4 linked regions of the Alligator mississippiensis genome follow. The protein of the gene in region 1 interacts with the protein of each later gene in a pairwise test. Links are inferred from orthologs where the notes say so. Each region holds a gene or a part of one and is shown on either strand. Other genes may lie near its edges.

Region 1 (7,792 bases):
CAATCTCTTCTAGTTTTAGAGGGTCTTCCTTTTGAATATCACTTTGCTTTATAATAAGATTTCAAAAACAGAACATGACAAATCTAACCTGTCATCTTCTAGCCCTCCCAGTGGAATGCTTCCTCTTCTACTCTTGCTCCCACATACACACCATCAACCCGTACATAACTGATACAGTATTATCCAAGTCTGAACATAGTCTGAAATAAGGGCTAAGAGGTATGAACTATCCTGATGCCCATTACATGGGGGTGTGAACAACACAGTGAAACTATAGCAGCCTTTTATAAGTCAACATGAATTATTGCAATATTTAACAGGAAAGCATATAGGATGAGAAATGTGGTGGGATTCAGAAAGAAGTAGAGAGAAAAAGGAGAGGGGAGGAAAAAAGAAAGAAAAAGTATGGAGGAAGAAAGAAAGCAAAAATGTGGGAGATTCAAAAAAAGAGGGGGGCACACAAAATTTTCCTTCTTCCTAAATTACAGCAAAATATATAATATCTAGTTTAGTTAATACACCAGGCCATATTTTATCCTCTTTGTCTCAATGACATCTACATGTGCTTTGCTCTCTGCTAAGATTGGTATCTGATCCTTTACAAAATCAATTTGGTAAAAGTCAGTTCATAGTTTTCAGCAAATGCAAAACAGGGAAACTGACAGGATTCTTAGTAAGTTCATAGCTGCTATTCAGAATCTTATAATGAGTAATGAAACTAGGGAAACAGACCACAACTCATTTACCTTCCCACTACTCAAGCCACTTTATACAAACTCAGGAAGATTGCACCAATTGCAGGTGCAACTTGAAGCAGACCTAAAAACAATCTAGTATTTCTTAAATGAAATTTGCATTAGTTGAAAAGCCAATAGGTTAGAACCCCACTTAGTTTGGAAAGCTTTTTTTGAATGTGGGAAATTATTATTTTTTTTTTTTTTATGCCTTAACCCCTTAAAATCCCTATGTGTGCCTTCAGCTTTAATGAGGGATGTGCTTCTTACCAAGTTGGTCAACCAAAAGTTTTCTAAGTGTTCAGAATTGCATTTTTAAGGCAACACCCAACAGCTAGTTCCTGCCCTTAATTTATAACTGATATCCTTTTTTATTTAGTAGTTGCAGTTTAATTTGTCAATCCATAGTTACTAAAACTTTTTTCATTTCAGGCCATTAGCTACTATAGAGTTTGAGAGAGAGAAGGGAAGTGACAGGATGTACTGCCCATTCCCACCTCAAATCTGGGCTGTGGGCAGTAAAAGTAACACAGGAAGGGCTTGGAGAACACATCTTGTCCTTTCCTGCAAAGTAAAGAGTAAAGATGGAGAAGAAAAGTGACGTGGCGAGTATTCCCAGGTGGCAGCCCCATGACACAATGAAAGATGGGAAGGAACAGACGGGTACTCCTTCCTCTTCTTTTATTTTGTCCCAAAAAAGAACTCCATGGTTCTTTTTAAGATCTGGGGATCATTGACAACAAAAAGCATAGTTTAAGTTTTCATTTTGTGAACATTCCTTGAATCTCATTTAATCACAGAAACACTAAATTAACAGAGTTTATGTCTAGCTGACTTCACATTAGCTGGCTTCATCAGCAGTCCCTCAATACAAGGATAACAGTCTTCCAGTTGGTTTCTCTAATCAAAAAAAAGTCACAGAATTACCATTTATACATTTCCAAAAGGTTCTAACAAATTACCACTAGTCAATGTGTTCATTCACTTACAAAAGTTCATGTCATAAACAAAGTATAAGCCTTTATACTATAAAGGGTCACTGGCATCCATTTTTATTTCACACATACAAATCATCACAGATCTTACTAGCTAGCCCACTTTCAACATAAGGTAACACAACCTAGTAAACTAGTGGTTCTCAACCTTCTTAGACTCAAGACACTGCTCAAAAAATACCAACTTAGTTTTTCCTTTTTTTTTTTTTTTAAAACTTAAAAAAATAATAAAGTAATTCTTCTGTTGCAAAAAACTTGATCGTAACAAGTCAGAATGTATTTAATACTATGGATTCCTATTTGAAATCTCTGGGTTTATCTTGTGAATCATGTTCACATGCCTAATAGTCCTAACATTACAAGGCATCCTTGAAAGGATCTCAAGGCACCTGGGGGTGTCACGGCACCTGGCTGAGAACTGCTGTAGTAAAATAGGCATTAGCACACTGTGTCTAACCTACATTCATACCCAAGTAAGCCCTTCTGGTCACCTCTATCCAAGCAGTAACCCACACGGGAAAGAGGAACACAACTTCTGGGACTGTCTGCAGAACTTTGTCCGAAGGCTGAAGGACTCTCATGCATCCATATGATCTTTTTCTTATCCGCATGGGCCGGCCGTCGAAGCTCGTGGAGCACGCGATTAGGAGCGCAGCGCAATTAGTTGATGGCATACAGTGGGAGGCGCATCTTGTTTCTGTGGTGAATGAAGTTACAGCCCCGCACACGCTGGGGGAACCCACGCCAGGCTCCTTTTACAATAAAAGCAACGACCTGGGGCCTGTTCTAGCAATCTGTGGGTATTTTATCATTTAAAAGCCTGACTACTGGAGCTATCATCAGATCTCCCACTTGAGCAGGGGCAGGAGCACCCCCCCACTGCGAGACTGCGGGAGAGCCTGGTGCCTCCAGGGGCCGTGATGACAGGCTGCAGGGGACATCCCCGCAGAGCGGACTCCCCGCTCCCCAGTTAAGGGGAGCAAAACAGCGATGTCACCACATTGCCACCTCCTGTCCCCCCAGGTAAGGGCCCAGGGCCCCACCGCGGCGGCGGGCGCGGCCGGGGCTCCCCTCCCCCGCCCGAGCACACAAGGTTATTCGCTGACACGGCGACCCCGAGCCCAGCCCGGCACCGCCCCAGCGCTGGGCCCGGCCCGGGCAGCGGCTGCCCCGCTCCCCCCAGCGGAGGAAGCCGCTGTCACCCCCGTGACAGGCCGGGCATGGGGTCCCGCCCCGTCCTGTTTATGTCCCTACCGTGGCTCGCAGCTCGACAGCCGCCGCCGCGTCCCCTCAGCCGTGCGCGCCGCGCTGCCGCTGGCCCGCCGCCTCGCTGGGCGCTGCCATCTCACCGCGGCGGCATCGGCGGCCCGCGCGCAGCCACCGCCACAGCCACGGCCGCCCCTGCGCCAGGGCCGCCCCGCGCCGCCCTCCCCCCAACGGCCGAGCCCCGAGCGCGCACGCGCCGGCCTCCCTGCGTCAGCGCCTGCGTGCGCGCGCGCGGACAGGTCGGGCCCGACCACAACCGCCCTGGCTAAGCGCCCGGCCGCAACCAACTTCCTCGAAGCTGTGGGGGGGAAGGGTTGAACCAAGGGAAAAGAGTGCGGTAACCGCCTGCCCCGGACTGAACCAACTTCCATATCGGGGGGCGGGCTGGGACGAGCAGGGTCAGTCCCGCTCAAGCTGCAGGTCCTGGTTTGAGGCCGCCCTGCGCGAGGACGGGGCGGTACGAGCAGCGGGTCCCGGGGCGGGGTGCTGAGCTATCCCCGCCTCGCAGGGAGACCTCAGTGAGCGGAGACTCAGCCCCTAAGGGAGCCGGGGTAGGGGGCTCGCGCAGTGGGCCCTGGTGGGGGTCCTTGCAGGCCCCCGGGGTCTGAGGGGCGGGGTCACACATCTGCTGCAAACAATGCCCAGAAAAAGATCACTCACCTGAAAATCCTAATAAACTGACTGCAGAGCCGGAAGGCAAAAGCAGTGTCCCAGGCAGGACATCTCTCCCCCTGTGCTGGGATCCTACAGAAGTAGGAGCCCCTGGGCCCACCTGAAGGCCCGGCACAGGAAGGGAGAGAAAGGCACTCAGGGTGTTTCAGTCCAGCTTGTTGCTGGCACAACCGAAGGGCCAGCTGCTCTTGTGTCACAGGTTTGGGCTCGGGTCAGTCACAGCCACCTCAAACCCAAGGCCTGTTTTTAACCCAAAGCCTTCGCTTCATAGATCACAGCCCTACCTTAAGGGAAACAGCAAACTGACTTAAGGGGTTGAGGAAAACCAAATTCTGTCCTGAGCTGTTGCACTGTGAGCAGCAGCCGGTCTCATGGGGCCCAGCCGTGAGCCCCAGCCAGGGTGCCTCCCACCAGGACTCCAGCAGATAAGTGCAGGCACAGGCAGGGCAGGGCAGGGCTGCTCTCACTGCCCAGCCCAGTCCAGCCCTCTGTGCAAGGAGTTGAGCGCTGAAGTTAGTTTTTTAAATGTAGTGCCCCTCAATTCACAAGCGTGGAGGGTGCCTCATGTTGAAAAAGGTTGAGAGCAGTGAGGTGTGGGATGGGAGCCCTGCAGAGCCTCCAGGATGGTCTCCAATGGGATCTATCTGAATTTGTGTCTGTTCTTTTGAAAAAGTGCTTATCCACAAGAAAAAAATTTCCTTTAAGGTACCTAACACTATGTATTCATCCTTTTACTTGTTCTAAAATCTGTACCCTATAATTGAGTTCCCTGTTTTCTGACTCTGCTCTTGGGGTCTGCATCTGTAATTTGTGTTAATAAGCATTTTTAGCTCTACTTCATGACTTTGCAGTGGCTTGCTTGTTGCAGATGTGGTTAATGTTTTCATTTATGTCCAAAAATAAGATGCCATTCCTGTCCCAAGGAGTTTGCAATTAGTGTGAATAGACCAAACTGTTCAGACTAATTAATACATGGAAATGCTGTTCTGGATGGGGTGTCCCCTTATAGCCTTTAATTAAAGTATATTTTTACAAAAAATACTTTAACATACAGTACTTGATACCTCTTGCTTGCTTGCCTCTTCCCTACGTCCACCTCTTCATATTATGCACTAAATTGTCTTATAACTGCCTTAATTGGATGGATAGCTTCATGCAAAGGGTACCCATAATGTGTTCTGAAAGTAATAGTCAGCTGGCTTCTAAAAAATAGGCTTGTGGTGATGTTTTGTTTTCACGTGAAGCATAAAACACCTGAAGGATTTTTTTTGTTTTGACTTGCTTTGAGGACTGTGCTAGCAAGTATAATAAAGTATGTGTATAAATGTTTGCCATTTAGGAGCCTTAATTTTTTAAAACAAGCTGCAAAATTTCAAGTCTATGTCATCCTGCATGAACTTGAAAAAGCAAAGAGAAAATTGTGGGTTCCGGTTTTCCCCCTTTTGTAGATCACATGTAACCTTTATAATGTGCTTTGGCCTGCAAAAACTAAAAGTCCCAGTATGCAGTGATTCAGGATGGTGACATTAAGATGAAATATGGTATGCTTGGACCTTCAGTATTAGTTGCCTGCATCACTTCATTGGGTGCAAACAGCTAGAATTTGCTTCCTGTAACTTAACTGGATGTAAATCTCAAACTTGCTGCTGGGGGAAAATCTAGTTTTTATATGCATGTTTATTTTTATTTGTGTATTTTTTGCCAAACTCTCTTTGAGTTTTGTTTTTGGACAAATAAAAAATCTAATGCTAATCTCAGATAAGTTTCACATGCTTTAGATGTGAAACCATAAATCAGCCTGAAGCTTTTAGCATCTTAAAGCTTGAAAACACTACAAACGTAACAAATATAATTGGCTAGGAAAGTAAATCCTAGAGAAGTGGTATATTACTGTTGGAGTTGGCCTCCACGAGCTTAATTAATATTAGATTCTTATATAGCATTCACTCACTAGGCTTCACAGATTCTAAATCTGGGAAATTCAAGGTCAAATAAAGAACCTACAAGCTAAGTGCTTAGTATGTTGCTGTTATAGATTCACCCTTCTGCTTGTCTGGTTGTTGAACAAACATATTATTGACCACCTTTCTATTTCCTTCCTAGTTTCATCCAGAGCACAGAGAAAAGCAGCACAGTCTCATACAATAGGCCTACATCCTTACCAGTAAAGAAAATTGCCTGAGGGTTGGGTGGCAATGCTAGTCTTAACAAGTCTGTAGAATGGATGTCCTGTGATTGTTGTGTGGAACAGTATAATTCCTTCTCTCTTCAGTGAATATCTCTAGTTTTCTTTTACTCATGTAGAAGATTAAGGTGAGTTTGGGGGTGATTCTAGTGACATTCTTTTAGTCCAAAGTGTGCCGTTCATCTCACATTCTGCTATGGAAAAGTTGTCTAATATTTCATAGGAACAAAACCAATACGATTCTAAAGAAACTCAGAATTTAATCTAGAATTTAAAACATTTCCTATAATTTTTGGACCATTCCATGTAAATCTAGGGAGAAGCTATAATTCTCTTATTCTATAGTATAGTTTAAAAATGGATAGAATTTTTTTTATGGAAATCTTCTGAAAAGCAGAAGGAAAGCATGACTCCTTAGTTGCCTTACTATATTATTATCAATATATCAATCACCTAAATCTTTATATATTTAATTGACTCAGATTCAGACAATAGTTTATCCCAAGAAAGGACTGCAGCATTAGATACAGTATCGGTGAAGTTTTTGTTTAGAAGTCCTAAAGCACAGCACAGTATGGGCAGTTACTATGCTGTGCAAACGGTGCACGGTTAGGTTTTGTTACTATGTCACCGTAGCATCACTCTATACTAGGGGAGTGGGCCACTACGTCAGCTTAGCTGGTGATCACATGTAGACCCGCACAATCGCTATGTCGCTGTAGGGCGATGTTTAGACATGCCCTGTGATGCTTAGTTTCACTTATCAAACTGTAGATTTGTGTCTCCAGAAATAACATCCTTGTTAGCAACAGTATATGAAGATGAGAGATAACAGATCTGATTACCTACCTTTCAGCCCTGTTGCCTCTCTACAAGTTTGCATACACATGGTCAAGCCCTTACCTCTGTCTAAAAGTACAAAGTTTCAAGAAGTTAAATGAACAGAGGATCTTGAACAAGAATGCATTTTTTTGCAGAAAATAATGATTAAGTCGAGGCTTCCTGACCAGTGATTTAAATTATGATTTGAATCAATTTGATTTAAATCAAATCCACCCTGATGAAGTTTCAAGGTCAGCCATCAGTTTGCTAAATTGGGCTGGCTTATTTTGCCAACATCATTCAGTTTATTTATAAAAACAGTATTTAACAAAATTAAAGGAAGATTTCTCTACATTTCAACTATATGTTCTTTTTCCAAAAGGAGCTTGTTACTTGAAGCTCATACAACATGAAAGCTAGAACACCCAAATCAATAGTTAGTTTTGATTATTCATGGCTTTTCTGTCATCCTTTCACTTTGCAACCTCATATAATTTTTGTGCTCTATTGCGTTTTGGGTTTTTTTGCACATCATGCTTTTCCAAATTGCTTTTAAGGTAACTGAGAAATAATTATCTGAAGCACACATTTTTCAGAAATGCTGTCCTGGAAAAATGCAAGCTAACTTCCATTTTAATGTTTTGGGCCTATATTTCTAACCTCTATGACTGTAGAAATATTATATTTTCCCAATTTTTTTCAGTGGGAACATGTATGTACGGAGATAAATGATTGGCAATGATGAAACTTAATTTTATAAGTATGTGTGCATAAAACCTACAATTACATTATTCAAATATCTCCCTCCAAAATTGTCTCCTACTTAGGAAGTATGTTTTCATTTTTCAAATTTGCCATTCACCCTCCCTGCATTAGTGAAAACAGCAATGAGTTTGTAAGTGCCTTTCATGTAACTACGTGCTATACCATGTAGCAAGGTTTGTGTGCCAGATCCTCATAGTCTTTGAAAACAGCTTGTTGCAGCACCTTGAAGCCAGGAATTATTTGCATTGGGTTATCTGTTGGTAGCAATTCACATCAAACTCTCTTTTTGTTAAAGTAAATTGTATGTAAATCACAATTTGCTAGTGGTGACTAGCCGTTTTATTCTGATGTCA
Region 2 (7,925 bases), about 140 Mb from region 1:
AGTACTTGATGATCTTAAGGACTGGAGTCATAGAAATGGGATGAAATTCAGTGGTACCAAATGCCAGGTCAGGCAGTTAGGGACTGATAACAAGAACATCCCCTATAAGTGTGAGAGTGAGAGGGGGAGAACTTCATGAACTGAAAATAACTAAGAGAAAAACCTATGTTTAGCAGTTGATTACACAAAAAAGGAAAGGATTTCTTTCAGAAATGTTGAAATAACTGTTTTAACTGTAAAAATTTTCCCTTCATTTTTAATTCAACAGAAACTAATTGCTGATTTTTTTTTCTCACTGCAGGCTCATGAACATGAGCCTAGATGCTGTGGCTAGTAAAGCAACCAAAATGCTGGCTTGCATCCATAGATGCTTCTCAAGCAAATCCCGGGACGTCATTCTCCCCTTGTACTCGGCCTTAGTGAGGCCGCAGCTGGAGTACTGTGTCCGGTTTTGGGCTCCACAATTCAAAAAGGATGTGGAGAAGCTTGAGAGAGTCCAGAGAAAAGCCACGCGCACGATCAGAGGTCAGGGAAGCAGACCCTACGATGACAGGCTGAGAGCCCTGGGGCTCTTTAGCCTGGAAAAGCGCAGGCTCAGGGGTGATCTGATGGCCACCTATAAGTTTATCAGGGGTGACCACCAGTATCTGGGGGAACGTTTGTTCACCAGAGCGCCCCAAGGGATGACGACTAGGTCAAATGGTCATAAACTACTATAAGACCGTTTCAGGCTGGACATAAGGAAGAATTTCTTTACTGTCCGAGCCCCCAAGGTCTGGAACAGCCTGCCACTGGAGGTGGTTCAAGCGCCTACATTAAACACCTTCAAGAGCAAACTGGATGCTCATCTTGCTGAGATCCTATGAACCCGGCTGACTTCCTGCCCTTTGGGCAGGGGGCTTGACTCGATGATCTTCCGAGGTCCCTTCCAGCCCTAATGTCTATGAAATCTATGAAGTTTCAGTTAACTCAGAACTGTATAATTCAGCCAGTAAACTATTCACCAAAAAAAAATCACGAGCTCCAGTCTTCGTTGAGTATGCTCCACTCCACAATGACAGTCTGAGTAGGCTTTTCCTGCAATTGCTCCTCTGTCAACCGGGGTTCAAAATGACACTACAAATAAGACCTAAGAGACTGACACTCTCTTCAGTGCTCTCAATGCCTTCCTTACTGTGCCAACCAGAAGACATCTGGGGCTAAATCTGAAGAGGTACTAAACTGTGAGTCATATCAGCAATGTTATTTCCATGTACCAGGAGCAGGGTGAAAAAAAAAAATCAGACAATGGATTGTAAATAATAATCAAAGTCTGGTATCTATGTAGGCAGAACTTATTTTTATATAGTGCCTTTACACTTAAGCTGTTTACAAAGTAGTGACTGAGTTAGGTATTAGGTGTGCAGTGACTGCGCAGTCCAGTGCAGCAGGAGTAGCACTTGGCTCTAGCTCATATATAGAACCTTGAGCATTAGAATGTATTATTGAGAGAGTAAATGTTACCTCAATCCCTGATCTTTGAAAATAGTCCATAGAATAATTATTAACCTATATGGACTTCATTGTGGGTTCAGGACTTGAACAGTGAAGTTATAATGTACTCTTTTCAAGACATCCTTAATTTTCAAATAGGCAGTCAGCAGAGACAGGCAACAAGGGTTTCATCCAAAGGTAAGCATCTCTAGTGCTGCAGCTCCTTCTCTTTTTGGTACTGTGCTGTAGGCCTGAGACAACATCCTAGATGAGAACTCTTACTTTTTGCACAGACAAGTGCTGCTAGATGAACCAATGCCACCTTTATGGTGGCACAGAGTACATCTACGTGAGAAGTTTACTGCAGAACTGCCTAATTAGCTCCACAGTAAATGTCTCTATCTACAGGTGTGCCCCTATTAGGGTGCATGAAACTAATAAACTGTGGAGCAGGCTAGTACTTGTAAATACAAGTACCCTGTAAATACAAGTACCCTGCTGCACAGTTTTTTCATGCTTAGCAGTACATGTGTAGCTGCTGCCCAGCTGGCTGGGGCATGAAGTTGCTTCAGGGTGGGGGCTGTTGTCTGGCTAGCTCCGCACTGAAGCACCCTTGTGCCCCAGCCAGCCCCTACGCAGCACAGTGAGCCCAGTCGGAGTAGCCCTGGGCTACTGCCAGCTGGGGCTGCTCCGACCAGGCTTGGTGTCCTGCACACAAATGAACTCTGGAGAAATATACTTCAGAGTTTTTTGCTCCTGGGCACACATCCAACTGGTGTGCCTGGGGGCAAAAAAACTCTGGAGCAATAAACTCCAGAGTTTATTCATGTGTATTAATTGCCTGTGTAGATGTGTCCACATTCTCCTAGATAGGTAAGTTTTCCATATCTGTTATTAACTATTTTTCTAACTCATCTCCAGGCTTGCCCAACTTGTTTAAACTTGAGCTGGAACCCATTGTTGAATGAAAGGCCTGGCCTGCACCTGCTCTCTCCCAGCATCTCAACAAGCAGAACTAAAGAACACAAATTCTTGAAGTTCATCTATTACAGTGGTTCTCAAACTTCTGAGTCTCAAGGCACCCCTTGGAAAATGCCAGTTCTCAGCTGTCACTCATTTTTGACTAGAGAAAAAAATAGAGCAAGTCTTCTGTTGCAAAGAACTCAGAAAGATCATTACAGGTCAGAATGTTTTTAATTGCTATTTGAAATCTCTGGCTTTATCTTGTGAATCATGTGTAGGTGTTTGCAGACCTCAAATTTGTATGGCAACCTGCAGCACCCTTAAAAAGATCACATAGCACCCCACAGCACCGCAACATCCTGGTTGAAAATAATTGGTCTAGTAAATAAGAAACAGCAGAGAAAAGGAGAGGGATGAGCTACTTCACCTGAAAGAGAAATCTGCCTCCTGTGCCCCTTGTTCAGACAGCATTACAAAGTGATGCACACACAAATTACTTTCTGCCAAATCTCCTCCTCCTATTGGGAAGAAAGCCAACAATGCGAAATGCAATCCAGTTGCATGCCCCACCCTCCTCCCGGGCTGAGTTATTTTAAAACTTCAAGCTCACTCTAGATAACAACACTGACCAAAAGAAAAAATGGGGTGGGGGTGGCTGCAAAAGAGAAATAAGGAGGGCAAAACAGAGTGACGCAGAAGAAAGTGTGGCCAACAAAAGCAAAAGCTTATGTAGACTGATCAGTGTTTGCAGCAGCAGCAAAGAGATGTTGGGGGCAAGAACAAATAGCTTGGGGAAGGGGCTGCAAACAGTGGCAGTAAGTGGAACCAGCAAATACTGTTTGTTGGGAGAGTGGAAGTGTAGCATAGGCAGCAAAGAGGGGTTGGTGGTAGGGAGTGGTCAACAGTGGCAGGTGAGGGTTTTGGTTGTGAGGATTGAGTGTGGCAGGTTGGCTAGGGGCAGGTTTGACAGTGAGGACAGGGAATGGCTGGGATGGAGCTAGAGTTCTCTCTCTCTCTCTCTCTCTCACACACACACACACACACACACACACACACACACACACACACACACACACACACACAGAGTGTTATAGGGCAGCCTGACACAGGGGGCCACAAGAGAGGTGCTTCAGGGTCTGCACAGTGGAGCGGGGTGTTAAAAGAGCCACCAGGCACAAGGACTGGGCTGCTCCAGAGTTTAGGATATGGGGTTGCGGTAGGGGGTACAAGGAAGAGCTTGCATACAATCATATAGAAGTAGGGTGGGAAGGGACCTCCAGAGATCATCTAGTCCAACCCCCTGCCTGAGGCAGGAACATCCCTATCCAAAATATCCCATACAAACAGTAATCTAAGCTCTACGTGACACTACTATCAACCCTGACGCAACACTGACCCTAAGCAGAGGGGCAAGACCCTCCAGCCTTAGTCCCAGCAGGAGCATTGGCACAATCCAGTAAAAGTGCCTAGCCTTTAGGGTTACCAAATTTCCAATTCCAAAAAAAGAGGACACCTGTCGTTGGGACACCTGCAGCACCATGTGTCATGTTTGAGAGGCATTTGGTGGCATGGTGTGCACGTGCGTGTGTGTGTGTGAGGGGGTTATGAAGTGGCCTGACACAGGAGGGCACCGGGGCGGTGCTTAGGGACAGCGGGGGCAAGGGGGAAAACCGAGAGAACATAAGAATTTAGGGAATCCGTGAGTGTTCTGAATAAGGAGAAATGGTGAATAAAAGGGAGAGAGAGGAAAAACTGTTTTGCTGAATTAAAAAATACTCTTCAGAAATCTCGTCCAGAATAAGGTGACAAGGACTGTCAGCCACACACCTATTGTATTTACTCGAATAAAAGATGCTCCTGAATATAAGCTGCCCCCCCTCCCCACCAGTACTTAGCTTCTAGTTCGGACTGCAGAGGGGTGCTCGGAGCCGTGCCTCGCGGGGCTGCTCCGGAGGAAGAGCTGGCCCGTGGCATCGTGCTGCAGAGGCTGTGTGTGTGTGTGTGTGTGTGTGTATATGTGTGTGTGTGTGTGTGTGTGAGAGTGGGGGGAGGAGGTGGTTTGGGGGCACAGCGGGGAGCTGGTGTTTGGGGGGTCTAAGCCTGCCGGCCGGGGCGAGAACTGGAGGGCAGGGAGCGGGCCCGGCGGGGAGGGGAGGTGGGGGCGGGCTGGCACGGGCGAGGGAGGCGCTGTGTGTCCGCCTGCCTGCGGAGCAGGGGCAGGGCCGGGCGGAGGCAACGTGTGGCCGGCCGCCGCCGCCGCGATGTCCCTGCCCGTGGTGCTGCCGGGCTCCTGCTGCCCCGTGCCCGGGCTGGCCGGCGTGCCCCAGGCGGCCCCGGGCTCAGCGGACGCCCCGCCGCCGCTGCGGGCCCGCTGGGGCCGCCCCGCTCCCGCCCGCCGCGGCCCCGGCCCCGGCTCGCTGCTGCTGCTGCTGCCGGCCCGGCCGTTGCTGTCGCTGGGGCTGCTGCAGCTCGTGCTGGGCTGCGGCACCGTGGCGCTCAGCTTCGGCGCGCTCGCGCTCAGCGGCTCCGCGCGCGTCAAGAGCGCCTGTCCCTTCTGGGCCGGCTCCGCGGTGAGCGCCGGGGGGTGCGGGTCTGAGGGGCTGGGGTAGGTGGGGGGGTGGGGCTGGGATCTGTGTGGGGGTTAGGGGCTATGTTTGGGTCTGCGATGTGTGTGTCGTGGGGCTGGGGAGTGCAGGTGTGAGGGGCGTGTGTGTGCACATATATGTGGGGGCTGGGGAGTATGTATGTAGGGCTGGTGTATGCGGGGTGGGGGAGTGTTTGGGGCTGGGATGTGTCGGGGGGCTGGGGAGTACGGGTGTGAGGGGCGGGTGTGTGTGTGTTTGTGTACGTGGGGGCTGGGGAGTGTGTATGTGGGGCTGGGGTGGGTGGGTGTGGGGGGGCAGGAAGTGTGTATGTAGGGCTGGTGTGTGGGGGGGTTGGATGTGAGGGGCTGGTGTGTGTGGGAAGGTGGCGGAATGTGTGTGGGGGGTTGGGGTGTGGGTGTGTATGTGTGGGGCTGGGGTGTGTGGGGGGTAGGCGGGGTGTTTGGGGCTGGGCTGTGTGTGTTGGGGGGGTGGGGAGTGTGGATGTCAGGGGCTGGGGTGAGTGGGGGTGTGTGTATATGTGGGGGCTGGGGTGGGTGTCGGGCTGGGGGTGTGTATATGTGGGGGCTGGGGGTGTAGGGGGTGTGGGGGGGGACTGAGGATGTGTATGTAGAGGGGATTTGTGTGGGGGGGTGGCTGGGGAGTGTATATGTAAGGGGCAAGGGTGGATGTGTGTGTATATGTGGGGGCTGGAAGGTATGTTTGGGGCTGGGAGGTGTGTGTGTGTGTATGGGGTGGGGGGTGGTGTGTGTGTAGGGGGTTGGGGGGTATATGTAGGGGGATGCGTGTGTATGGGTGGGGAGGCTAGGGAGTGTATATGTGAGGGTTGGGGTAGATGTGTGTGTGTATGGGTCTGGGGTGAGTGTGTGTGTATGTGGGTGTTCAGGGAGGTGTGGGTGGGTGGGGGAATGTGTGTGTGGGACTGGGGTGTGTGTTGGGGGGCTTGGGGTATGTGTGTGCAGTTGTGGGGGGGCTGGGGGTGTGTTGGCGGGCTGTTTGTGTGTGTGTGTGTGGGGGGGTCTTGAGAAGGCTGTGTGGCTGTGCACTCTCATACACCAACTACCTGCCACAGCTCTATGCCCAGAGAGAGGGCACAAGCACCCCTGAACCCTCAGAGCCCCCTGGGTGCCGGCTGCAGCCACTGGGCTGTGCCAGTGCTCTTGGCATTGGCTTAAACCTGGTGTTTCCTGGCTAGAGGGCTCTGCTCAGGGTCCCACCATTGGACAGATTTGGAGTTAGGAAGGAACTGCCCCTTATACCCAGCTTGGTACAAACCGGGTGGACTTTTTTGCTTTCCTCTGTAGCACAGGCAGGGTTAGGATCTCTTGAACATATGGAGACAGCAGGATGCTGGCTGCCCCTGCCTTACCTGTGGCAGGTGAGGGTGTTAAGGCTGCATTGCACCAGGGTTGTCAGCAATTTTGTATAGAGTTTTGATGATGGATGTTTAAGGGATGGTTTGGAGGGGGATAATCCTGCCTCAGGCAGGGGGTTGGGCAAGGTGACCTCTGGAGCTCCCTTGCAGCCCTGCTTCTCTTCTGATTCTGTGAACCCAAGTGCACTTCATTCAGAGGCTGGGAAAGGACAGCACGGAGCAGAGCCTGGCAGGTTTCCGTGATAAGGTTTTATGAAACACACAATGGCGAAGAGAAAACTAATAGGGATTTATAACTCTCTCTCTCACCAGATGAGAACTCGGGGTCACAAGATGGAACGAGGAGGTGGGAAGTTGAGAGCAAAAAAAGGAAGCTCTTTTTCATACAACGCATCATTAAAGTGTGTTGGCACATGTTGCCATCAGATGCGGTGGAAGCTGACAGTTTAGTCAGATTCAAAAGGGATTGGACAGATTCTTGGAGGAAAGGGGCATCAGTAGCTGTTGACACAGGAGTTTGGGATACCACCTCTGAATCAGAACTTCTTAGACCTTAAGTGCTGGAGGCTGTAATTGAGAGAGCAACAGTGGAAAAAAACAATTCATACCCAGGTCACTCTTCCTTTCAGCATCTACTCTTTGCCACTATGTGACACAGGAAGCTGGGCAAGATGGTGTTTTGCTGTGACCCAGTAAATGGCAATTCTTAGATCCTTATAAAGTGGAACAAGTGATTAGAATACAAAACACAGGAAAGCAGGAGGGGGAAGGGGTACTGGGAGATGCGTACAAGCAAAGACCCCACAGGAAAAAAGGGGTCACAAAAGCTAAGCCAGGTAATGAGAGATGAATATAGATATGTATGCACAGACCAAAGAGCGCAGAAGCAACCTTAATTCTGGCATTTCCTAAGTTTAGAGAACTTGATTTAGGAACCATCAACGCCTCTAACTTTAAAAAAATACGTATGGAAAATATAGAAATAATATATTTTTATTGAATGAGAGAATACACTCAAGTGATTCATCTGTCTATAACAGTCTACTTAATATGTGTTAAATATGAAGTTTATTCCACCCAAAAAAGCCAGAGCATTTTGGCTCTGTGTGCATGAAGTGAAGATGGGGGCTGGACCCAATGATCTATCTCATGAGGTCCCTTCCAGCCCTAAGCTTTTGTGAATGTGTGAATCTGTGAATCTTTAGTCCTTTTTTAAACCACTCTTCACAGTCCAGTACAATCCAGGTTGTGAGGATCTTCCCATTCCTTGCAAGATTGACGCCTACTTGTTTAAAGCAGGTGGCTAGGGGAGTCAGGGCTCTGGTCCAGCAGTGCTACTGCTTTGCCTGTGACCTTTGATAAACCACTTAACCCCTCTGCCTGTTTCCCCATTGATAAAATAGATATAATAACAATTCCTCACTGCAGAGGCGTTTTAACAAAGGTTTCATTAGTGTTTGTGAAGCACTTTGAAATTCTCCGTTATATACGAGCTAAGTGTTACATAAATA
Region 3 (7,886 bases), on another chromosome or scaffold:
ACTGAGCACAATGTAATCCCACTCTAGGATTGGTCTTACTGCAATACAAATTAAAAACAGTAATAATGTGCTGTGACAGATTGGTCAATCCACCAGCTGAGATGTGAGAAGGTGATGAAAAGGGGAAAGGAAACGAGAAAGGAAAAGTTACAGTGTGTGTGTGTGTGTGTGTGTGTGTGTGTGTGTACACCCCAAAAGCATGGCCTCACCTGGAATATCCCTTTGTCTGCCAAGAAGCAGAAAAGATCTGGAGAAGTACAAGTCGTTATCTCTCTGAGTGTTTAAGGGTGAGCATTTTCATACTGGGGAAGACTAATAAATCTAGAGGCCTAATTCAGCCCCGCTCTACACAATAGCTACCTTGGGTTTGGCTGTACTAGAACTTCTCTTCTCTCACCCTCTCATTAGTTCTCGTGCCTGGCTTATGATACAGGAGTCCTGTTACAGCATCTGGCTGTCTCTAGCATTAATACAGTCCAGAAAAGATACCAGGTCAAGAAATTGTGCACAGCTCTCTTCAGTATACATGAAACCCTCTGAGCTGGTCTCACTTTTCCAACATTGCACATATCTCAGGAGCCACAAATCAGGTGGAAATAATCGTATGATGAAGAAATATTGCATCACCTTGAACAGTTTGCATAGCTGGCTGGTGTGTATATGCCTGTAAGTCATGATGGAGTTATTTAGGGGCATTTCTATAATGCGTCTTCACAAAGTCTCTAAACACATCACAAGCATTCATAAATTCAGACTTAAAGCCTTATCTGTGAGGTGGGTATTATCATCCCCATTTCATAGATAGAGAAACTGAAGCAAGGGGAGGTTATGGAACTTGCTCAAGTTGTGCAAGCAGATCTAGCTAAGAGACAACCACATCTGATTCATAAGAAGCTCTTGTGGCAAATTGAAATTGTCCTTCTTTCTTCCTTCCTGTTCCCGTTTCCTGGAGAGAGAGATAATATCATAAAAATAGGTTGCTCTGACAGCTGTCCTTCTCAAATCTCTCTCGGTATTCTCGTACTGGAGTAGGACACCTGCCCCCTCTACTCCCTCAATAGAAGCTTGTGTCTCTGGTCCCAAAGGTTGTAAATAATAGATGCAGTCAAGGTGGTTTCCTTTCTTAAAACAAAACAGTACAGAAAACAAAACTGGCATTTGATGACACCTATTTTTCACTGTGCATTCATGTGTGTGTATTTGTGCATGTGTAGAAATTTAATTTTCCCCAATATTTTTGGGTTATGATGAAACTGCCAAATTATTTTCTTTGTTTTCAGATTTTGAGGGGGAAATTCTGGGTTGTTTTTTCCCCCACTTTTTTAGCTCCTCCATCTTTTGTTTTTTTTAAATGAAATAAAAAGAGCCACGGTGAAATTTTTTTTTAAAAAGAGGAAGCTAGGTTCTTTTGCATCAAACAAAACAAGCAAAGGATAAAATGAAAAACCCCAAATACATGCAAACCAAAATGTTTCAAAACTGAAAGGTCTGTTGAGAATATTTGTCCAACAGTTCTGTAAAATCTTTAAGAAATGTTTATAAAACACCCTTTTTTTTTACCAGTTCTGGTTATGAATTTCTCTTTCTTGTGTGCAGTTAGATAACAAATGTATTTTCAGTGCATGTAACAGGGTTACAGGTAAGCAGAGAATTAGGTATATGAATATGCATACTTATGAATCCATACCCCATGGGCAAAACAGAATCAACTAAGAAGCTGTTGAACCGGCAGTCACTGGGTTAAACATGTTAAAATGATCTGCATCTAGTTATGTCAGGTAAATTACTAAGCAAACTCCAGTCATGTACCCTAGTGTGTCCAGGGAAAAGAATCAATTTTGAGCAATCTATATTTAAAAAAATTGCTCCTGTATTTCTACAAACAGGAATAAAACTCTAGGCCTTCTAGTAGTGGAGTTATATATAGAGCCTGTCTGGTTGAAGGAGCAGGGGGGAGGCATCAGGAAGATGCTGTCCCTCATTCTAGGTCAGAGGTGAGCAATTATTTCAGGCGGAGGGCCGCTTACTGAGTTACGGCAAGCCATCGAGGGCTGCGTGACAGTCAGCCAGGGGCAGATAAATATTAATTTTCTACATGTTTTAGGGGCCCTGCAGGCTGGACAGAATGGCCTGGCAGGCTGCATCTGCCCCGTGGGCTGCATTTTACCCACCCCTGTTCTAGGTCCTATTCTTGATTCTGCTTTTTTACTAGTACTTTGGCCTGGGGCAAGTCAGTCACCTCTCAATCCCCCCGTTTTCCTGTCTGTAATTTTACTTCCATCATCCAACTTGGAGTGGTTTAATTGCCAAAATGTTCGGTGCCCTTCTGGTGACAGGCACTACAGATGGATTTGAGTAGCTGGTTCAAGGGGATTGTTATGCTCATACCACCAAGACCGTTCATGGGTCTGCCTTGGGACTGGTGCAATTGCAAGAGATTTAAGAAGCAGTGCCAATAAATACAACCCCTTAATCCCTAGCATGGACCCAGCCAGTCAGGAAGTAACAGCTGCCCCTGTCTGATGGCTCCTGGGTGGACCATGGGACCCCATGGATTGGGGTCTCAAGTTACTTGCCCTGGGTACCAGCACTTGTCAGAGAAACCACACTCACAACAAGCATTTCTTGATCGCTTTCCCCTTTGTTTCTTGACAGTCTCAGAGGCAGAGGAAATAGGTAGCCTGGACAGATGCAAAGCATGGCTAGCAGGATGATCAGAGGAACAGATGAGACACAACTAAACAGCTTGGCTTGTTTAATCCTGAAAAAGGATGGTCATAACTGCTGTCTATAGATAAATCAGTGGTGGAAGACCTATTTTAAGCTGAGGGAGAATGTTGGCACAACTTCACAGGGGTGTAAATGGGCCCTTAATAAAATGAGGCTGCAAATTGGAAACAGATATCTAACAATCAGAGCAATGAACCTCTGGAACGGCTCACAATAGGAGCAATGGAGCAAATACCACCAACTCTTTTTAAGATTGAGCATTATCAGTTTATAGCATAGAACCATGTCATAGAGAAGTTGGTCAGGAAGGGACCACCAGAGGACATCTAATCCAACCCCCTGCCCGAGGCAGGCAGATCATCCCTATCCAAACCGCCTCATACAGTCCATCATCTAAACTGGGGGTGGGCAAAATGGTGGATCCAGCCTGCAGCCAGACTCCATTTCCTGGCAGCGCTGGTGGTGGCAGCTCCTTTAGCTGCTGCTGCTGCCCGCAGCCCCACTGTCTGGGCAGCTCGGCCTGTCCACCCTGCACCCACCACTGGGAGCAGGACCCGCACAGGCAGGGCATGCAGCTGGGCAGCTAGGTTGGGGCAGTGGCTGGGAGTGAGATGGGTGAGCAGGGACAGGGAGACCCCAGGATCTTGGGGCAGTAACAGCACAGGCTCAGGGCTGGGACAGAGCCGCGATCTGCTGTCCACACGTCCCTGTGATGAGCGTAGGTTGCATGGACAGGGGTGTGCAGGGAGCAGATTGTGGCTCTGCCCCGGCCCCAGCTGCATGCTTTCATAGCCCCAGGATCCTGGCCCCAGCCTCAGCCCCGGCCCCGGCTCCAGCTCTGGAGCAGCTCCCTGCCCAGTGGCGTGCCCTGCTCACAGGGCTCCCATCCAGCCTCCATGAAGACCCTGGGATTGTGGGGCCGTGACCACGTGGGGCTGGGGCAGAGCCTGGTTCTGTGGGCAGGGGTTTGCAGGGAGCAGGGCTGGATCTGGCAGGCAGAGCTGTCCCTAGGGGTATGCGGGGCCCAGGGCATATCAGTCTGTGTGGAGTTGAGGGGTGGCGAAGGTCCGAAGCGTTGAGTGGGGGGGAAGGGGTGGTGAGTGGGTAAGGTGGCAAGTGGCTGTGGCAGGGCCTGTATGGCACTGTCCGCGGGGCCTGGGGCAGCCGCCCTGATTTGTCCCCCACCTAGGGATGGCCCTGCTGGCAGGGAGTGCATCCCAGCTCTGCCCCAGGGGGAGTGGGGCTGGTGGTGGCAGCCAGGTTTCCAGGAAATAGAGACAACTACAGGCTGCATCTGGCCCACAAGCCATATTTTGCCCAGCCCTGATCTAAACCGTACATGAAATGGCCATCAACCCTGACACAGCGCAGACCGAGCACCCTAACATGCCATACAGAAAGCAGGGGATCCACAGCAGCCGGCGTCCTGCTTCTGTGAAACGTTGTCAGTACATGCTCAAGAGATCCTGGGTAGAGGCCCTTGCTGCTACAGAGGAAGGCAACCCCCTCCCCCAGTCCATGCCAGCCTGACTACAGGGTGAAATTCCTTCCTGGCCCCTAACACACTAATTGGCCTGACCCTGTTTATAAAGTAGATTATACGAGGTGCCCGGCTGTGATTGCAGGGGGCTGGACCTGATAACCCAGGAGGCCACGGCCAGTCCGGACTCGCTTTTCAGCCCTGAAAATCCGAGATGTGGGCTACGCTCGCCCAGTGGCGCGGAGCCAGGCTGGGATCTTCACCGATTCCTCCCTACACACCCTTTGCCCGGCGTGCCCCAGCCAGGAGGTGCCTTGTACCAGCATCAAATCCCCACTGCTTCTTCGAGCTGCAGAAGGGGTTTTCAGGTGAAGTGTAACCCAGGCAGGCCGGAGGAGAGCCGGGGCAGCGGCGCACAGAGCTGCTTCCAGGCCGCCGTGCCTCGAGGACAGGTGACTCCTGACCCAGGGGTGCTGGGGGCCCACCACTCAAGCCGCAGAAGCCGCTGTGAAGGGGCCCCGGGAGGCAGCAAGAGGGAGGTGGAGGTGCGGAGCTCCGGGCCGGCGGGGGCGGCTCCCTGCGCCCGGGGGAGGCGGGGCGGAGCCGGCTGCTTAAGGGGCAGGCCCGGGGCGGGCGCTGGAGCGGCAGCAGCAGCAGGTAGAGCAGCTTCTTCTTCGGCAGCGGCGGCAGCAGCCGGGACTCGTCTGCAGCGCGGCGGAGCCCCGGGGCCGGGCCGGTTCGGTTATGGGGAAGGTGCAGCTCTTCGAGGTCCGCCTGAGCGAGAGCCGGGTCATCTACAGCCCCGGGGAGCCGCTGGCCGGCTCGGTCACGGTGCGCCTGTCCGGAGCCCTGCAGTACCGCGGTGAGTGCCGGCCCCCGCCCGCCTGGCCCCGCGCCCCCATCGCCGCCCCCGTCTGGCGGGAGCCGCCTGCCGTCAAACTTCGCCTGCCGAGACCCGTGCGTGCTGACGGCGAGCCGGCTAACCCTGGCGGGAGGCAGCGAAGTCCCAGCCGTGGTTTCCGCGGCCCTGCGGGTTTCTTCTTCGGCCGGTTCGCGCGCGCGCGTGTGTGTGTGTGTGTGTGTGTGTGTGTGTGTGTGTGTGTGTGTGTGTGTGCGCGCGCGCGCGCGTGAGCCGGGCCCCTCTGCAGCACCTACTCTCTAAAGAAACATTGAGACGCTTATCTTGCTGGGCTCCCTTGGTCTTTGCTGGCCCTGGGGCAGGGGGCTGCACTCGATGATCTTCCGAGGTCCTTTCCAGCCCTAATGGCTGTGGGTTGAGGCTGGGATCCCTGCGGCGAGGGTGGCTTGGCTGCTTCCCAGCTGGGTTGGATCTAGGTGTGGAAGGCACCGAGCTGTTGGGGGTGGGGGGTTGTTACTGCTCGCTGCGCCCCAGCATAGGTAGGGGCTGATGTGCTTGAGGGTAAAGCTCAGCTGTGCTCCCGTGGGGGTGGGGATGGTGGTCTGGAGCCAACCTGCCCTGAAGTCACAGATTTCCAGGGTTTGGAACCAGCCATTCCCAGACTCGGTTAGACCTGACACCTGTGTCCAGAGCAGGTGTGGCAGAGGATCCACAAGAACTCCCAAGTAAGCGGGTGTGATAAACCCTTTCTCTCTGCTAGTTCAAGCTGTTGAGCAGGAGGAAGCTTGACCCGAGTTCTGACCTATTGCTGGTTGGTCCCAACTTGTGTTGAGTGGGACCGGAGGGAAGTTAAAAATCCAAAGGTGCCCAGGTCACGTGCCAAACTAACCCGCCTTTTATGTCCATGGCCATAACACGCAGTTAGAGCATGTTTTATGCAAGCTGAGATGAACTGTAGGGGAAAACAGTTGAACTACAACCAAAAGGAGCTGTTTGCTATTGGGAAGGAGGCCAAACTGTGTGTGTGGGTGTCTGCCCTAGTATCTAATTTTTCCACCTTCCAGTCTTAAATGTAGCTGTTTTTGATGCATCAAAAGCAGCTGCAAGGGGAGTACCTTGAGCTTGTAATTCTGAATTGAAATTTCACATTTTTAAAGAAAAAGGGGTACTGGAAAGTCTGGGAAAGGGGGAAGAGCAAAGGTAGATTATATATAATCTGCATAATAATCTCTCCCTCCCTCCGCCTCCTCCTTTAAGAGGGAGGGGACAGAGAATTTTTTTATTTACTTATTTCTGTCTCCTCCCTCTTTAAAGGTTGAGGGGGGGGGGGGGAAATTTAGTTCACAACAGTGTCAATACATTTGGGCTAGGCTGACTTGACTACTGTATTTATCCAAGTATGAGGTTAAAGAGACCTGACAAATTGTGAAGCTGGAAGGCAGAGCCTGGCATTCGGGTTTCCAGCATCCTTTAATTCCTGCATGTGGTTCAGTGCCTTCCAAAGCTCTGAGCAGGCGACGGTGTTGTGGTGGTCTCAGAAGTCGTTAAGCCATTCAGCAAAAAGTATCTTGTTTACAGTGACCGTGACCAACCAAAGTGATAGGCAGTGTAAGTCTTGTCACTTTTTTAGAGACTGTGGACATAGTGACCTTGAGCTGCCAGAGCCGAGTCTTCTTTGGACATTGGGGAAATGGGTTACATGTGAAGTGGACTTGAGAAGACCTAGGCTGCACACTGTGCTAGTCACTGGCTGGAATCTAGGAATTGATAACCATACAAACAAGCAGGTTATAACTGAGAAGAGGCACCTGCTTTTTAAAACTGTAAAATTCTGGTTGTAGCATATTTACAATGAGTCCTGAATTGTTTCAGTTTTCTAGATCCTTGCTGTTGTGAAACCCCTATTTGGAATTCTCCCTGGGAAGTTGTCAAGACTAACTCCAAGGCCCTGTCTTTAGTGGGAGGGGAGACTAATGAATCTGCAGTTTTGCTTGAAAGGGAATAAATCTTTTCTAGTGCTGATTTAAGCTGCTTTGGTGCTTGTGGTGTGAGGACAGGTGCCTTGACTTTATTGAAAATCTTGTTGACCCTTCTGCCATCCCTTGGACAGTCAGTCCTGCAGACTCTATGAACTTTGCATTATACTGACAGTGATGGAAAGCTTTAGGGAAACTTGAGAAGGGTAGAAGAGTGAAGCAGTCTGGATTCTACCTCCACTCCACCATGAGCTGTTCATGTGATGTTTAGACCAAGCAATTTAATGTGTTGTACCTATTTTTTCTCACTGTAAAATGGGAGAAGATAGTCCTTGTGAAGTACTTCATCCCTGGTACAATAGAAATGCAAAATCTCTTTCCTTCTATAAGTCTGAGTCTTGCTCACTTCTCTTGCAATTATTGCTTCCATCTCTACATCTTGGAAACCTTCCCAAGAATTTAGACTGGTAATCCCTTGTTGGCAGAGATCTTAATTCAATTGACTCTGCTTGGAAAGCACCCAGCCTTCTAGGCAGTCACTGGCCTATGTGAGCAGGTATGCCCACATTTTTAAATACTTTTCCTGTTGCACCTGGATCTCTGAGCTTCCAGAAGGCTTTGCTTAAATTCCTCTCCCAGTAAATTATGGGCTCTGGCTGTAAAACAGTCTCCTTGGGGAATGCCACTTCCTAGCAACACTCCTCTGAGTGAGAGATTCCTAATGGAGTGTTCACTGACTTCTGCCCCTTGCTTCCTGTTCCCAGCCCAGCCTGCCAACTTCTTCCTCTTCTCCTGAGGACCTGCCTCTATGAACAGGTCAGAGTTGTAGTGTTCAGCAAGC
Region 4 (7,977 bases), on another chromosome or scaffold:
GAAACTACTGGACAATGAACAACACTCCTCTTTCATAGCTTACTATTTAAAATATGGTCTCAGAATTTGAGCAAATGGTAACAGAATAAGCAGCATGAATGGAAAAAAGTACAAGAAAGTGAACATGAATAAGGAGTAGCATCAAAAGGTGTAAAAGGTAAAAAGATAGGGACCACAGACAAATCACAGAAGATAAAAGCTAAGCATGGTATATGCTGATGGATCTATGAGACACAAGAATACATCCCATTTCAGGAGAACTTGTATTTCAGAAAGTCTCCTCCTCACCAGATTTTCAACCTTAGCAGGAATAACTGTTGGCTTTGTAAGTTTACTGTACTGAAGGACAATCTTTTGAAAGCTTGAGTTTGTAGGTAGGACCATGAGCAAATGCAATTGTGCTGAAACAGCTTGGGTGAATTTCTTAAGCACAGAAAAATAAGAAGTAATGTCCCACAAGCCTGTATGCTGCTTCTAATTAGTCTGTTGGAATCTTCTATTACAACAAACCATGCACTGTCACCACAAAAAATGTAGAGAAGAGGTTTACAATATTTTGATTAACTAGAATTTCTTTTAGCTCTATTAATCCATAGCTGTCAGTACCAAATTAGATCATAACATTAGTAAAAACCGAGAATGCAACTAGACTAAATAATTATGCAGAAAGTACATATACTAACCATAGAAAAGCAGAGTCCAGTCAAAAAGCTTCCTGGACATTTGCCATTTTACTGGGATCACATGCTCACAACAGAAATAGCTTCCCAAGTTTTATGACTGTTTTGAGTGGAATTATCCCCTAAAATTTTACTTACAAGATATCAGAAACTTTTCAGAAGATATTTTGAAACGTTATCACTAAAAGGAAAAATTATATGGAAAATAGCATTTACTATTTGCAAGCAAAAATAAATCTGCTGCAGAAAGGAAGACATGCAAGGCGAGACTAAACCAAACAATACAGGAAAGGTGCATCTTAAGTAGGAGCCCTGAATGAAGTACAATCAGAATGTATTCATTGATGCCATTGCTCTGACTGGCAGACTTATTGCAAAGAACACCCAACATATACCCACCACCTCTGTAAAACTGAATCACACAGATATACTGCAAGAAACTGGATAAAATCAAGGTCTCTTCTGCAACCATACAAGTAGCAAGAACGTCAAATATTTGCACCATTTTTCCAAGCAATCAATTACCTACTTTAATGGCTTGAATACAAACAAATTTGCACCAGTTTACATTACACTAGTTTAGTCAAATAGTGCAACATTGCTCTTGGACATACTTCTTTTAGCATAAGAGAGGCTTTAATTTGGTTTAATGGGAACCCATTCTAAACTAAACTAAACAAGAACAAAACCATTCCCATTGGGGCTTGCACCACTTAAAATCCACAATCTCCAGTAAGGTAAGGCAAGGGGGTTTCAACCAGGACATGCTGATGTTTTTGATGGCACTGAGAAAACAATTTCCCAGCTAGAAGGTCCTGCACTGCCACTCAAGATCATACCAGTAACAAAATTCAAACCCAGCAAAAACTTTTTGTCTGGGCCAGATTAGGAGATCATTGGGGTTACTGCTTTTCTCAACAGCATGGGCATGATCCTTCTCCTAGGATCTTCTGTATATATTAACCAACTGCTTCCAGGTTAACTTAGTAGCAGGGATAAAGGTTGTAGCCATGTTGGTCTAAAAGTACAAGCAGCCAGTGTGGTAGAAGTGGTATTTTTTATTAGACCAACTAAACAGTTACAATTTTTTTTTTTAATTTGCAAGCTTTAAGGCAAAGATTGTAACATTTCTCCCAGGTAGAGTGTCATTGTCGTCCCTGCTTCTACCTATAGCATATCACACAGCGTTCTTGGTATTGTTGGTATGATGCCTTGTAGCAGAGTGTAAGGGGCTGAGGATGACAATGGGGATTTCTCGGGATAACAAACGCAGGCAACTTGACTCTATGGCCCAGGGTGTCCCTTCCACATTATACCAGTATATCCTTCCCATTTAAACAACCCAAAAGTCTTAAATGAACAAACCAGTCTTCTCTATTGCCTGCTTGCCTCACAGTTTGCTACTCTTCCGTAATATCAAATTTTAAAAATGACCTTATTTTCTGAAAAATATCCCAAGCCTCTAGATATTGATTTAAATTTTGGGACACAATTTCTTCTCCAACCACCACTCCAATACAATCCCACAGTCACCTCCCTCCTCCTTATCGCCTGAGTCTCTATGAACCTCCCTCTGCTTATACACCCACTGCCACACATCAGCTGGTCAGTGAGTCTGGTCGATCTGCTGAGGGCAGATTCTTTACTTGATCCCTTGTTTTGCAGAAAGGAACAACGCAGTGGGGGACACCACCACACATGAAACCACCACTATGTTTCTTGAGGTAACTGCAGCTGTTAGTGGGGTTGGGGGAGGCCCGCTCATGCATTTCAGTAGGGACGCGCAGGGCAGTTTGCACTTTGTTTTCAGAGGGGGAGAAAAGACTGACACATTTCAAAGAAAATCCAAGTGTCTGTCAGTTGAGGTGCAAGTGAAAAGTGCAATAACAGCATCCCCATCGCCAGGGGGCCAAAGGCACCACGGGGCTATTTAAAAGAGATGCGGGGAGTCTCTCAGGGCTGCCCCACTCCTGAGAAGACCTGGGGCAGGTCTGCCTTTCTGGGATTGTTTTGTTTCAGTGTTTGTGCAGGGTGGACCAGCACAAGGCCAATCCCTGCCCCTCGAGCCTCTGGCCTTTTAGTAGCTCAGCAATTGAGCACCTCAGGCCTCCTCTGCCATCCCCCGGAGGCGGCTCCTCTAGCCGGGGCGGCCACTGGTCTGCCTGAGCGGGCGGCGGGCGGCGGCCGGGAGGCAGCCGTGCTGCTCCCGCCTCCCCGAGCACCGCGCACCTTCCCGCCGGCCCGGACGCGGATGAGCCGCGGGAGGTGGAGCCATTCCCCACCTCCCTCCTCCGCCGCCACCAAGACCCCGGCACGGGCAGGGCCAGGGCCAGGCGGAGAGGAAGCAGGCAGGCCGCTGCTGGTGGCTCCCGCTGCCTTCGCTGCGCATGCGGCCTGCGCCGGCGGCCTCCCACCGCGGGAAAGCAGCGGCCGCGAACAATGGCGGCCGGGCCGGGCCGGGCCGGGCCGAGCTGGGCCTCCCCGCCGCGGGCCCGGCAGGCGACGCAGCCCCTCGGCCGGGCTGGGGAGGCCCGAGGGGGAGAGGCGGAGGGGAGCCGCGCGCACCTGGTTGAACTCCTCGCCCACGTCGGCGTAAATGTCTATGTGGTCCACGCCGTCCGCCATGATCCCGCCCGCACCTCGGGCCCCGCCGCCAGCCGCGCCCGGCTCTAGCGCTGCCGCCTCCGCGGGGAGAGAGGGGGGCGTGACGTCACTTCCGGAAGGCGACAGGCCGCTTCCGGCTGCTGAAGTAACCACTGCTGCCCCGCTGCTCCGCCTGAGCCCGCCCTCGGCCGAGGGGGCTTGTGGGAGGGCGGGGGCGGGGCAGGCCTGCGCGCACCGCCGCCCCCCACCACCGCGCGGGGGGCACGTCACCCTGAGAGCGCCGTCTCCAATCCGGACAGGCCCCGCCCCCTCCCGAGCTCTCCACGCCCCGCCCCCTCGTCCGTCAGCCCAAGTATTGTCCAGGGCTGGGGGGGTTGTCGCGTGTGTGGGGATTAATTCCATCCTTGTGCTGTTAATATTAAATAGTAAAAGCGTTGAAGCCCAGGGGAGCCCCGCTGGCCTCTAACTGCCCTGCACAACATGGAGTTTCTTTTCTACTTGCATCAGGTATCCAGGTTGTAGCGGTATTGCTCTAGAAGAAAAAACAATCAGGACTCGGAGTAGAGAAGGTAGGTATCTTTTATTAGACCAGCAAGATTTTTGCAAAAAAATTTCTTTAATTGCAAGCTTTCGGGCACAAACACCCTTCATCAGGCATCAAAGAAAAGATTGTAAAAGTTCTCCTGGGTAGAAATGAAAGTTCGTATTTCGTAGGATTTCACAGAGGAGTCAATAGATGGAAAACTCCTCTGGGCAGTCGGTTCATAGCTGGTATGGAGCCTCTCGCCTCCTGTGAGATCTGTGATGAGGATGCAAATCACCTTGAAACAAAGGATCTCAGGTTTCTGGTGGTCACAGTTGCTAGCTGCTTGGGAAAATATGAAGATTTAATTTAAAAAAATCTGGATACCTGATACATGGAAGATATCAAATTTTAGCTGATTTTTTTTCATATATGCAGCAAGAAATCATGAGGTTAAATGTTGCGGTCAAATTCATTAAATAAATCTTCTTCCAAAGAAGAGCTGTAATGCCTTATTTCTTGAGTTGCTGTCCAGTGTATGAATTGTTACCTAATGTTAAGCTTAGCCCTCTTACCTGGTTCCCAGAGTTAACATTTCTAGAACCCAGAAATTAAGTGTAATGGCTAAAATAAATTGAGTCCATTCTAAACAATACTGAAATTTCCTATTTAAGAGAACTATCAGATCTACAACCTGTTCCAAAAACTTGGTATTTCACTTAGAAAAAAAAAAGTCAGATAAGGTGATCTCGGTCTTCACATTTACCTTGGTCTTTACAGCCAAGGTCAGCTCCCAAACTACTACACCAGGCAGCACCGTTTGGGGAGGTCAGCATCCCCCAGTGGTGAAAGAACTGGTTAGGGACTATTTATTAATATTGGACGTGTACAAGTCCACAGGGCTGGATGCAATGCATCTGAGGATGCTGAGGGAGTTGGCTGAAGTGATTGCAGAGCCACTGACCATTATCTCTGAAAACTTGTGGCAATTACAGGGGGGAGGGGGTGGTCCCAGATAATTGGAAAAGGGCAAATATAGTGCCCATTGTTGGGGGATAACCCTATATGGCTCACATGTGCCATTTGGAAAGGGACCTGGGAATATCACTGCCACCTACCTCAGGTGTTCTATCCTTGCCTGCCACATCTTGATGGAACTTCTTATCAAAAGGTGGATGTAGTATGAAGGCAAGATTCCACTGAGTCCTCCAAGGGTTTTCTTCACAGGACTCCTCTTCCCCTTACACCCCGTCCTTGCTATCCCACATCAGATGGCAAACGTCATGGTCTGGATCCTGCGTGGAACAGCTGTACCTCCGGCAGCTATTCATTGGCTTAATAAATGGTTGTGTTTGTATACTCAAATCACTTGATTCAGGCACCACAAGGCCTCCAACTTTAGTCAGTTCCCAAGAGACCAAGGATCAACTTCACTATATCAATTCATTGAATAGTCCATCAAGCAAATAACTTAAATCAATTTTCCTCCAATTCATGGGACAATCACTCCCAGTCAAGTAATTTAAGGCTCACGAGACAATCAAATTAAATTCCCTGCACATACACAAGACAGACAATGAAAATTGGTTTGCCAGGAACCTTTAACTTGATCAGTCTTAAATTAACACCTGTCCTCCATGCCTGGTTTTCTTACTGGTACCATGGCTCTTAATCAAACTACCTCCCCTCTGGCTTGGCTTTCCTGGGGTGGGACAACCAAGGTTTCTGCAGGGTAGGGGCTCTTCTCTTTCTCCCTGTACCCCAGTGCAGTGAGGAGATGAAACAACAAAAAAACAACCAACAGGGAAAAAAAAAGGGTGGGGAGGCTGTACCTTCAACAGCTTCCGGGCTCATCCAGTGATGACTTTCCCTAGTCTCTCTGTCTTTGCTGGCTCCTTGCTGTGGTCCTCACTGCCACAGCCCTCTGCTCACCAGCTCCTCACCATTCCCTCATGTTCTGCTCTTGGGCACAGATGGCTTTAGGACTCTGTGAGCTGGGTAGGTCTCCAGCATCCCCTTGCCTAATCCATCAGTGTCCTCTCCCAGCTGCCCCTCTCTGGGACTGGAAATATTCTTCCTCAGGCTCCCTCCACCAATCCAGAGGGAGCAGGAACTATGGAAGCACATCTGCATCAGTCTTGCTCTGGTCAGGGCCACTCCCACACCTGCAGTGACTATTTCCCTCCCCCCCTGCAGTAACTCAGGCCCTCTTTTCTTTTACTTTCTCACACCCATCTTTAAGAAAGAGAAGAAGGAGGATCCAGGGAACTACAGACCAGTCAGGCTCACCTCAGTCCCTGGAAAAATCATGGAGCAGATCCTCAAAGACAGGACTGGTCCGTCCTATGCTGCAAAACCTGCGGCCACAGGGGACCCCACAGCTAAGGGCCCTCCTGAGTCCAGCTGCTTGCCACCCCTCCCTCCTGCCACCAATGACACTGCCACCACCGGCTTCATGTCTGGCCATTCACCACCCCCCGCCACCACTGGCTTCTTTGGCTGCTCATCGCCCCCCCTCCCCCCCCCCCAGCCGCCACAGGGGGCCCCAAAACTATTTCTTGCAGGGGGCTCCCAAAAATTGTGGGCTGTCCCTGCTCAAAGAATCCCTTCCTAAGCAATTGGAGAAGAAGTTGATTAGGAACAGTCAGCATGGATTCACCAAGGGCAATTTATGCCTGACCAACCTGATTGCCTTCTATGATGATCTATGGCTCTGTTGATGCAGGGAAAGCAGTAGACAAAATATACCTTGACTTTAGTATGGCTTTTGATACAGTCTCCCACAGACAGCATTATTTTAAGCAACTGAGGAAGTATGGGTTGGATGAATGGACTGTAAAGTGGATAGAAAGCTGCCTGGATTGTTGGACTCAACAGGTAGTAATCAATGGCTCGATGTCTATCTGGAAGCCAGTATCAAGTGCAGTGCCCCAGTGGTTGGTCCTGGGGCCAGTTTTGTTTAATGTCTTCATTAATGATCTGGAAGATGGGATGGATTGCACCCTCAGCAAGTTTGCAGATGACACCAAGCTGTGGGGAGTAGTAGATACACTAGAGGGTACGGCTAGGATTCAGAGTGACCTAGACAAATTGGAGGATAGGGCCAAAAAAATTCTCATGAGGTTCAGCAAAGACAAGTGCAACGTTGTGCACTTAGGACAGAAGAATCCCATGTACTGCTACAGGCTTGGAACCAACTGGATAAGCAGCAGCTCTGAGAAAAAGACCTGGGAGTTACAGTGGACAAGAAGATGGATATAAGTCAGCAGTGTGCCCTTGTTGCCAAGAAGGCTAACAGCATACTGGGCTGCATTAGTGGGACCATTGCCGGCAGATAGAGAGAAGGTATTCTTCTATAATATTCCACTCCATTCTGCACTGGTGAGGCCACATCTGGAGTACTGTGTCCAGTTTTTGGCCCCCTACTATAGAAAGGGTGTGGACAAGTTGGAGAGAGGTCAGCAGAGAGGGACAAAAATGGTTAGAGGGCTGGGGTACATGACTTATGAGGAGAGACTGAGGGAACTCGGCTTATTTAGTCTGCAGAAGAGAAGACAGAGGAGGGGATTTGATAGCAGCCTTTAACTGTGTGAAGTGGGGTTCGGAAGAGAATGGAACTGGACTGTTCTCAGTGATGACAGATGAGAGAACAAGGAGCAACAATCTCAAGTTGCAGCAAAGGAGGTTTAGGTTTGAGATTAGGAAAACTTTCTCACTAGGAGGATGGTGAAGCACTGGAATGGGTTACCTAGAGAGGTTGTGGAATCTCTATCCTTGGAGGTTTTTAAGGCTGGCTTGACAAAGTTCTGCCTGGATTGATCTAGCTGGGGATGGTCCTGCGTTAAGGAGGGGGTTGGACTAGACTAGATGACCTCCTGAGGTCCCTTCCAACCCTAACTTTCTATGATTCTAAGGCTTTGCTGAGAGATAGACACTGAGATATTAACTGGACTGTTGAGTAAATGAGTAAATTTTGAGACTAACAGTGTTATTTCTCACCACAGATAAAAAATACAGATTGAGCTCTGCATAAGCCATGTTTGAATAAAACAACAGCACTTCAGAGAAGATCTCTCATATAAAAGTGTTAGATATCCATATTGGGAAAAAGGTGAAAGTTTTGCCATTATATGAAGAAGCCTTATAAAGAAGGCTTATATAAAGAAGCCT

The links.
Region 2: the proteins of WWP1 (region 1) and ENTREP1 interact in binary tests that used the Homo sapiens proteins (3 or more experiments, as listed by UniProt). The link is inferred for Alligator mississippiensis from reciprocal best matches to the Homo sapiens genes WWP1 and ENTREP1.
Region 3: the proteins of WWP1 (region 1) and ARRDC1 interact in binary tests that used the Homo sapiens proteins (3 or more experiments, as listed by UniProt). The link is inferred for Alligator mississippiensis from reciprocal best matches to the Homo sapiens genes WWP1 and ARRDC1.
Region 4: the proteins of WWP1 (region 1) and CPSF6 interact in binary tests that used the Homo sapiens proteins (3 or more experiments, as listed by UniProt). The link is inferred for Alligator mississippiensis from reciprocal best matches to the Homo sapiens genes WWP1 and CPSF6.

Annotation. Positions count from the first base shown.
Region 1 is NC_081826.1:49,485,644-49,493,435, forward strand, and holds the start of WWP1 (NEDD4-like E3 ubiquitin-protein ligase WWP1), read right to left. Parts: upstream 3,148-7,792; 5' UTR 2,984-3,147; intron 2,524-2,983; exon of another isoform or gene 2,427-2,523; 5' UTR 2,404-2,426; coding exon 2,221-2,403; intron 2,218-2,220; exon of another isoform or gene 2,199-2,217; intron 1,635-2,198; exon of another isoform or gene 1-1,634. UniProt on the Homo sapiens protein: E3 ubiquitin-protein ligase which accepts ubiquitin from an E2 ubiquitin-conjugating enzyme in the form of a thioester and then directly transfers the ubiquitin to targeted substrates.
Region 2 is NC_081826.1:193,661,369-193,669,293, forward strand, and holds the start of ENTREP1 (endosomal transmembrane epsin interactor 1), read left to right. Parts: upstream 1-4,678; 5' UTR 4,679-4,697; coding exon 4,698-5,006; intron 5,007-7,925. UniProt on the Homo sapiens protein: Functions as an activator of the E3 ubiquitin protein ligase ITCH in the ubiquitination of the CXCL12-activated CXCR4 receptor. Thereby, triggers CXCR4 endocytosis and desensitization, negatively regulating the CXCL12/CXCR4 signaling pathway.
Region 3 is NC_081835.1:51,725,575-51,733,460, forward strand, and holds the start of ARRDC1 (arrestin domain-containing protein 1), read left to right. Parts: upstream 1-4,838; 5' UTR 4,839-4,954; coding exon 4,955-5,072; intron 5,073-7,886. UniProt on the Homo sapiens protein: Functions as an adapter recruiting ubiquitin-protein ligases to their specific substrates. Through an ubiquitination-dependent mechanism plays for instance a role in the incorporation of SLC11A2 into extracellular vesicles.
Region 4 is NC_081827.1:69,658,153-69,666,129, reverse strand, and holds the start of CPSF6 (cleavage and polyadenylation specificity factor subunit 6), read right to left. Parts: upstream 3,401-7,977; 5' UTR 3,306-3,400; coding exon 3,246-3,305; intron 1-3,245. UniProt on the Homo sapiens protein: Component of the cleavage factor Im (CFIm) complex that functions as an activator of the pre-mRNA 3'-end cleavage and polyadenylation processing required for the maturation of pre-mRNA into functional mRNAs.